Linked DNA regions of Arabidopsis thaliana. The protein of the gene in region 2 interacts with the protein of the main gene of each other region in a pairwise test. Each region holds a gene or a part of one and is shown on either strand. Other genes may lie near its edges.

Region 1 (4,722 bases), on a different chromosome or scaffold from region 2:
CTCAGTTAACTCGACTCTAACCTCAATAAACAAAACCTTCGAAATGTTTTGTCGGGCTCGGCACATTTAGCGTGAAAATGAGTTTTTTTTGTGTGAAAATAGATAGATCGAGATTGACTTAACATAAAATGGAAAGATTGACTCGAAAATACTTTCAATATCATCAATATTGAGGAGGAGAAAAGAAAAAAATACCGAAGATAAAAATTTTGGAAGGAAAACATATTCGAAGACCTAGATGGAGAAGTATAAATACAAATGAGCAGTCGCAAAGTGGGGCATCCACAATTCGTCTCTAAAGATCCCTAGACATCCAAATTCACAAGAAAAAAAAAACTAACTTGTTATCAAAGTTAGTTCAATCTCTTTGTAATTGTATCAGTTCGTTCTTGAGCTTAATAAATAAAATTATTTCCGCGACACTACTTCCCTTAATTAAGCTTGCCGGTTTATATGTGCAGATTTGACTCACACAATAGACATTAGACAATATAGTATGTTTTTGAAATATATTTTTTGAGGTTATTTCATGATAAGTAATACTGCAAAATATAAATTTTTCAAACATAAATTTATACATTGAACCTCATATCTATTTGTTTCTATTATTTAATTTATTTTAATGACAATGTGTTCTATACTATATTTAAATTTTAGTAAATAATTTTCTTAAATTATATAATTTTTCAATACTTTCTTAATAAACTTCTAGATGTGAAATAGTTTTATAAAAAAAAAAATACATATTCTGGTTATATTTTTTCATATAGAAAAGAAATGGTGTGATTCATATTTTTTCAAGTTTTCTAAGAAATCAAATAATGAGTAAGTCAACAAATAAAATCTCATATAGTGGCTAAGAACTTGAAGTCATTTAGTGAGAAGGAAACCAATAAAAAAATTTACCTATAAATTAAAGGGCAATTAAATGTAAGAACAGTTTAAATAATTAAAAATTATTAACTAAAGTAATGAATCTATTAATTAATTGAAAATAAATATATGTGAAAGAATATTTGTACAAAAAAGCAAATAAAATATCTAGTAGATATATTTCTGAAATAAGTATTTAGAAATTTAATTTTTTGTTTTACTTGATTTTTCAAAATTTTATACCAAAATACAATTTATTTTAATCTTATAATTTTATTTCTAATCAAGGTGTTCCAATTTCATTTCGCTAAATGTTATAGAACCGATCCCAATACGAACGCGAACCTCACTTATCAGCTCTCAATCTCTCAACTCGAAGTTTGTTTGTGTGAATCAAAGAAGAAACAGAGAACAACACACAAGAATTTGTTACCCAGTTCAATCTAATCTGTGTGATTAGATCTACGTCTGGAGCCAGATAGATCCGGCAATCCACTATATGAGATGTTTACAAACTTCTCTGAGCTCAATACAAGATCAATGAAGAACCCTAATTTTCTGGGTTTAAGAGAGATCGTAACAACTTTCTAACGGAATGAAGAAGAAGAAGATAACAGACTTCTATTTATATGTGTTTGACTTCGAGCATCGAAGCCTCTTTCAGAATGAGAGTCTTCCAATCATAACTTCCTTCTTCTGTAAACCAAAGCGAACCGTTTCAATAACCAACTCCAATCTGCTGTTAAACCGAATGTCATCAGACCAACATTAAACCGGAATTGGATCATATTCATAACATTATATCAAACAAGGAAAAAAAAACTATTCACTATTGTCGGCAATAATTAACTTTTTGAAAAATCGAAACAACAAGGCCACCACGTCTACAAAAATCAGAAACCAATTCATGCACATGATATATGTGTTTAATAAATATAATTTATATGGACCCTCTTAATAATATAATTTATATGGAGCATTTATTATTATGGGTACATCATATCATATCTGTTTTTACCTTAATAAATAGAATAACATTTTTTTCTGTGACACACATTGAAGAGAGAAAACTATTTGTCCCACAGTCAATTACGGGTCTAAAATTTGGTAGTAACAATAATACTTTCATATGCATATCTTAACATGAGAAAAAAATGTTTTCACTGGTCGAGCAGAGTTATATATATATTTAGATATTGACGAAAAGTCTTCATTGACAATAAATTACATTGGTTTCGTCCATCAGTACAAGATTGGATATGATCTAAAAAATCAGAGGCAAATCAATCAAGATTAAGAAGACGACAATGGAAGAGCCATTTCTTCCGAGAGACGAGCAGTTAGTCTCTTGTAAATCCACATGGCAAAGTGGTCAGGTCACCGTCGAGCTGAAGAAAGTGAGCCGCTTGGCCGCTCCTATGGCCACCGTAACCATAGCTCAGTACTTATTGCCTGTCATCTCAGTCATGGTCGCCGGCCACATCGGCGAGTTGGAGCTCGCCGGTGTCGCGCTTGCCACGTCTTTCACAAACGTTTCCGGCTTCAGCATAATGGTAATTATGCTATTACTCTCTCCTCTTCATTTCAAGAACTCAATTAACTTTCCAATATTGAAATATTGCTGCATTCTTTTTTGTGTAGTTTGGGTTAGTTGGTGCATTGGAAACTCTTTGTGGCCAAGCCTATGGAGCAGAACAATACGAAAAAATCGGAACCTATACATACTCTGCAATGGCTTCCAACATACCAATTTGTTTCATCATATCAATTCTATGGATTTACATCGAAAAGCTCTTGATCACTCTCGGGCAAGAGCCTGACATCTCTAGAGTCGCTGGCTCCTACTCATTGTGGCTCGTACCGGCTTTGTTTGCCCATGCTATTTTCTTACCACTGACTCGGTTTCTGCTAGCACAAGGGTTGGTTATTTCCCTGCTATACTCTGCCATGACCACCCTTTTGTTCCATATTGCGGTTTGCTGGACTTTGGTTTTCGCGCTTGGTCTTGGAAGCAATGGAGCTGCTATTGCTATTAGTTTGTCTTTCTGGTTTTACGCTGTGATACTCTCATGTCATGTGAGATTTTTCAGCTCTTGCGAGAAGACTCGCGGATTTGTATCAAATGATTTTATGTCTAGTATCAAGCAGTACTTCCAGTACGGAGTCCCATCCGCTGGATTGATTTGGTAAGTAAACCATTTTCACGTGTCTTGTTGGTTAAGTTACAATACACCGATGCTTCCTCTTATCTTGCTTGCATTTTTTTGTCTTCTTTGATAGCTTAGAATGGTGGCTGTTTGAGCTACTCATACTCTGCTCAGGTCTTCTCCCAAACCCAAAACTCGAGACATCTGTTCTTTCGATTTGGTAAGTATCATATTACTTCTTTTTATCCTATGTGTTCTCTTTACCAAAATGTATTAATCTTATGTCTTTCATGTTATCAGTCTTACAATAGGAACTTTACACTATGTGATTCCATCTGGAGTCGCGGCGGCTGTGAGGTATGATCTCAACTCTCAAACCAGAACAAGTGTTCAACAATTCCTTTCTCAACATTAGTCATTTGGTTTCTTGAAGCACACGAGTGTCAAACAAATTGGGAGCTGGAAATCCTCAAGTTGCTAGGGTTTCCGTATTGGCAGGGCTTTGTCTCTGGCTTGTAGAGTCAGCTTTCTTTAGCACACTTCTCTTCACCTGCCGAAACATCATAGGCTACACATTCAGCAACAGCAAAGAAGTTGTTGACTATGTTGCTGACATATCTCCTTTGCTCTGTCTCTCCTTCATCCTCGACGGATTAACGGCAGTTCTAAATGGAGTGGCTAGGGGATGTGGGTGGCAACACATTGGAGCTTTGATCAACGTGGTGGCTTATTATCTTGTAGGAGCTCCTGTTGGAGTTTACTTAGCTTTCAGTCGTGAGTGGAATGGAAAAGGACTCTGGTGCGGTGTTATGGTTGGATCCGCGGTGCAAGCCACTTTACTGGCTATCGTCACAGCCTCCATGAACTGGAAGGAACAGGTTAGAGTTTGTTACATTCTAGTTTTTTGAATGCTCTGAAGTAACTGGACTCTATTATTTGCAGGCTGAGAAAGCAAGGAAGAGAATAATCTCTACTGAAAATGGATTGGTTTAAATAAAGGTTGTTCCTAAGAGCTATCTCAAAGTATTTGCAAGTCATGTGCAAAAAAACATGTAATGTTATTTTGATGGGTTATAATATTTTTTTGTAAAACTTTTATCCAGGATTTATACATTTTTTCTTGAGTTGATATTTTCGTTAGTTAGAAAAATTATTCGAATTGCACATGCTGAAAGATGATTTATTTATTTTCTTCAAACTTTAATATACAAATGTAACAAGTAAATAAAAACTCATTAGTTCCAAACACCATGGGATTAAAAATGGCCTCAGCTGCAATCAGTCCTATCTTTATAAAAAACAACTATGTGAGTCCTATCCATTATCCCAATAAGTCCACTAAAAATGGCCTGTATGGCACAACCAGATTTAACACTTAGTATTAACTTTAAAATTCACAAAAGAAAATAATCTCTCTTATATATGGTCCAAACATAATAACTTTACACTAATGATCCATAAGAGTTTTCACATACATGTTTCTTGACGTAAATCATTAAAAATATATAGATGAAAAATACTTATAGAAGATTCAAATTCCACATAGTCCACTAATGTTATGTCATTTAATTAGTAGGTTTAGTGGTGAAAACTTAATACGAATTCCTACCTTTTTATCAGCCTCAGCTGCACGTTTGAACTGTCTAGTTGTTATTTAAACCAAAAAAATGTTTTTGTTAATTAAGACATTTTTCCTTTTTAA
Region 2 (4,129 bases):
TTGCCCCTTTGGACATGAACAACCTATTTGACATCCCTATGGTTGTTCCAGAAAGGAATCTGTCATCCTCAGAGAACTGCTTACCATTCCAAGACGCTCTAGCTCATGCCAAGTTGTCGTCCTCTGATCCTCCTTGACGGACATTCGAGGTTCTGTTTCTGTACTTTCATTAATGTGAACTATGTTGTGTTATATATATAGATCGTAGACCATATGTTTTGCTTAAATCTTTCAATTGAACCAAAGATGAAAGATGTAATAAGGTTCGTGTAAGAGCCAAGGATTAAAGTTTTTAGCAACTCTTTATCAAACTATTGTTTTTTTATTCATTGTGGTGAATTTGATGCCTTATTGATCTTATACATGTTTGGCCTAAATGTGTAATGTTACTTCTTTTGACTAAAAGACATAGTTTTGCTCAACAATAATTCAGACGTTGAGTAGAAAAATATATAATGGTATAAGATCTGTGTAAAATAGCACAAGATGATTCAGTTTAACCAAAAATGGTATAATACACAAGGATTAAAGTTTCTAGAAACTCTTTACCATTACAGCGCTGATACCCAAGGATGATCAGATGAAAAACTAAACTATAACAGGTTTAGTAATCTGCATGTTAACGGGCAAGTATGATAATTCGGATTTGTAGAAATATTCCGAATTGGTAAAGGACCATATTTATATTCTGGTATTTCAAGTAACTAGAAATTGTTTTGAATAAATATTACGAAAAGGTTTTGATTTTTTATAGAAATATTAGTTTGAGAAACTTTCGATAATTCTATAAAACTTTTAGATAATTGAGGTCACTCTATTACTTTAACAACACACGTCGTATATATTTAGTTTGGTTTGTTTTTAGTAAATATGTAAATTATATAAACTTTAGTAATTTAGTGTTTATGTTTTCAGTATGACTAGAATTTAACCCGCGGTATACCGCGGAGACAATTTATTTTTTAAAGTTACTATATATAAAAGTTTGTAAATTATATTTATCTATAAAATATTTTTATTTTATAGTTTACGATTGTTATTAAGTAACGTCCTGTCAAACCCGTCCCGCCAATTCGTCCCGTAAAAAAAACTCACTGATTTTATTTATGATATGTTTATGAATCATTGTCTAAATATTTTTTAATTTTGTAGTAATTAAATGCTATCAAATATCTCTGCGGTTTGATGATTATAATCTGCGGTTTGATGATTATAATCGAATTATTATAGTCATGTAGAAAAACAATATCAAAAATGATAATTTTGTAGTAATTAAATGATATTAAATATTTCGAAAGTTTTATTTTAGTAACTAATCGTGTAGTTAATGTGGAGAGATTTTGGGAAGATTGTCAAATATTTAATTCAAAGATTTTCTTTATAAGTATCAAAAACAATTATTAAATGCCAGTGGCAGCCACTGTAAATAAATCCAAACTCCAGGATTTATTTCATAAAGTGGCTGCAAAAATGTATATATAAATATAAATTACATTTGTTCTCCGGTTATTCAATAAATAATGCAGATATTTAAAAAAAAAAAAAAGAGAACGAAGAGAAAATGAGTCATATGGGCCAAAAATTGACAAAAGTCATGTAGCAAGCAGACATTGTTTAGTCAGATGTTATTTTCTTAATTCTTTTTTAGTCTTAGGTTATTTGCATATTCCCTAATTTTTCTTTTGGTCGGGATTTGTTGGAAGTTTATTCAATATATAAACTAAAGCAGGTTTTACAAAAATGTTTATGTTTAGTAAAAAAGTTAAATATACTAATTTCCCATTAAAATCCATCTTTAATATTTGACCACAAACTGAGATATTTTTAAAAGTTAACGTCGTTTGTTTAACAGTTATCGTTTCATTTTCACCAACTCTATGCCGCTTTCTTCGCAATTTTGAAGTTACATGGACGAAGACGGAGAGAAACGTGTTCGTACCAAACGATTATGTTCTCCAGAATCTTCGGACAAAAAATCTGGTTATGAAGTTGATTGGGTAAGAGATTTGCCAGAATCTTTGATTTGTCATGTTCTCTTGAATCTTTCGACAAAAGATGTGATTAAAAATTGTGTCTTATCCACGAAATGGAGATATCTGTGGAGGTATGTTCCTGGTTTGGATTTGGATTGTAGTGATTTCACCGAATACAATACTTTTGTGAGTTTTGTGGATAGGTTTCTGAGTACCAACACTGAGTCGTACTTAAATAAGTTTAAGTTAGGATTCGATTGCGATCTTGTTGGGGATGAGGAGACTGGTAATGCTCAAATGGCGCGGTGGATCAACGATGTTGTCAAACGGAAAGTTCAGCATCTCGATCTTGAGTGGGGTGCATTGGAAATACCTCCAATAGTTTACGTGTGTAAGAGTTTGGTATCTTTAAAGCTTTGTGGTGTAATCTTACCAATTCCTGAGTTTGTTTGTTTACCGTCTGTGAAAGTTATAGTTCTAGATTGGGTTAAGTTTGCAAATGATTTGGCTTTGGAAATGCTTATCTCAGGCTGCCTAGTTCTCAAAAGCTTAACGTTATGCAGAAGTAACAATGACAATGTAAAAGTGTTACGTGTGAGATCTCAGTCTCTATTGAGCTTCAACTATAATGGCCCCAATACCATGGGTCCTGAATATGAGGAACTAATAGTTGAAATTGATACTCCCAAGCTTCAAGATCTAACGCTCTCTCACCGTATGACTGCAAGTTTCATAATAAAGAATCGGAGTTCTCTTGTAGGGGCACATATCAATATTGAGTTTAACTTTTGTTTTGGAGAGAAGTTTGATCCGAAGAATCTACCAAAGAGAGAAATGATTCGTAATTTTCTTGTCGGGATCTCTGGTGTTAAAAATATGGCCATCGCTGCATGTACACTTGAGGTAACGTTTATTGAATTCGCTATTTTAATGTTAACTTTATCCTGATCTTTTTCTTGTTTTTGTTGTTGTTGTAGGTCATTTATGATTACTCAAGATGTGAACCACTGCCCTTATTTCGTAACCTATGTCTCTTGAGTGTTGAGTTCTATGAGGACAGATGGGAAATGTTGCCATTCTTTCTTGAGAGCTGCCCGAATCTAAAATCTCTTGTCGTGGTAAGGATTGTTTACTTAAAACTTATGTACTTTCTTTGGTATAATAATGCAAATGGGGAAAGTATCATAATTACTCCAACTTGTTTCTTTCACTTGGTTGTAATTTCAGGGATCTAATAGATATAGAATGGAGAGAACTAGTATCATATCAGGACATCGATGTCTCTTATCATCTCTCGAGTATGTTGAGATAGAAACCCCATTGACAGGGGAGGTCTTTGAGATGAAACTTGTGAGTTACTTACTTGAGAACTCACCAATCCTCAAGAAACTCACTATACATTTGCATGATAATTCTAGAAAGAAAGCAGAATGTGAAATCCTTACCATTCCAAGACGCTCTAGCTCATGCCAAGTTATCCTTCTCTGATTCACGTTGACGAACATACTGTGAACTCTGTTGTCTTTCGGTACTTTTACTACTATGAACTATGTTGTGTTGTAGATCTGTAAGAAGATCATATGTTTGTCTTAAATATTTCAATTGAACCAAAAATGTAATAAGGTCCGTGTAAGAACCAAGGATTAAAATTTCCAAAAACTCTTTATTTATCTGGACTATTTGATTTTTTTATTCATTGTGGTGAATTTGATGTCTTGTAGATCGTAAGGAAAATTTATTTTTTGACTCAATGAATTGTTTTTGCTTAACAATAATAATTCAGAGGTTGAGTAGAAAAAGTATAATGGATTACAAAAAGGAAAAACAAAGCACAAGATGTTTGATGCTTCAGTTTAACTGAAAATGTTATAAGATTTGTGTAAGACCCTGGGATTAAAGTTTATAGAAACTCTTTACCAATATAGCTAGATGGTTAGATGAAACTAAACTAAAAACCGAATAAACCTAGCTCGCTTTCTTTTTTCCTTTTCTAAGGTTGCAAGAAGGAATCCAGTGTCGGACCAAATAGCTCCGCTTAAAGCAGGCAAGACAGCCAGTGCAACGATTCATAGACCACCGAAAGCTGTAGCAGGTGTAATATATCAGTTAACTTATTTATTTATTTTTTGCTAAACAAATCAGTTAACTTATTTAAC

What was found. The genes of interacting proteins can lie anywhere in the genome.
Region 1: the proteins of AT1G66300 (region 2) and AT2G04080 interact in a protein complementation assay, tested with the Arabidopsis thaliana proteins (one large-scale study listed by BioGRID).

The regions. Positions count from the first base shown.
Region 1 is NC_003071.7:1,356,618-1,361,339, reverse strand, and holds AT2G04080 (MATE efflux family protein), read left to right. Parts: upstream 1-1,936; 5' UTR 1,937-2,180; coding exon 2,181-2,426; intron 2,427-2,514; coding exon 2,515-3,059; intron 3,060-3,153; coding exon 3,154-3,240; intron 3,241-3,320; coding exon 3,321-3,377; intron 3,378-3,453; coding exon 3,454-3,898; coding exon of another isoform or gene 3,899-3,928; exon of another isoform or gene 3,929-3,962; coding exon 3,963-4,013; 3' UTR 4,014-4,184; downstream 4,185-4,722.
Region 2 is NC_003070.9:24,715,829-24,719,957, reverse strand, and holds AT1G66300 (F-box/RNI-like/FBD-like domains-containing protein), read left to right. Parts: upstream 1-1,907; coding exon 1,908-2,876; intron 2,877-2,950; coding exon 2,951-3,091; intron 3,092-3,200; coding exon 3,201-3,461; 3' UTR 3,462-3,593; downstream 3,594-4,129.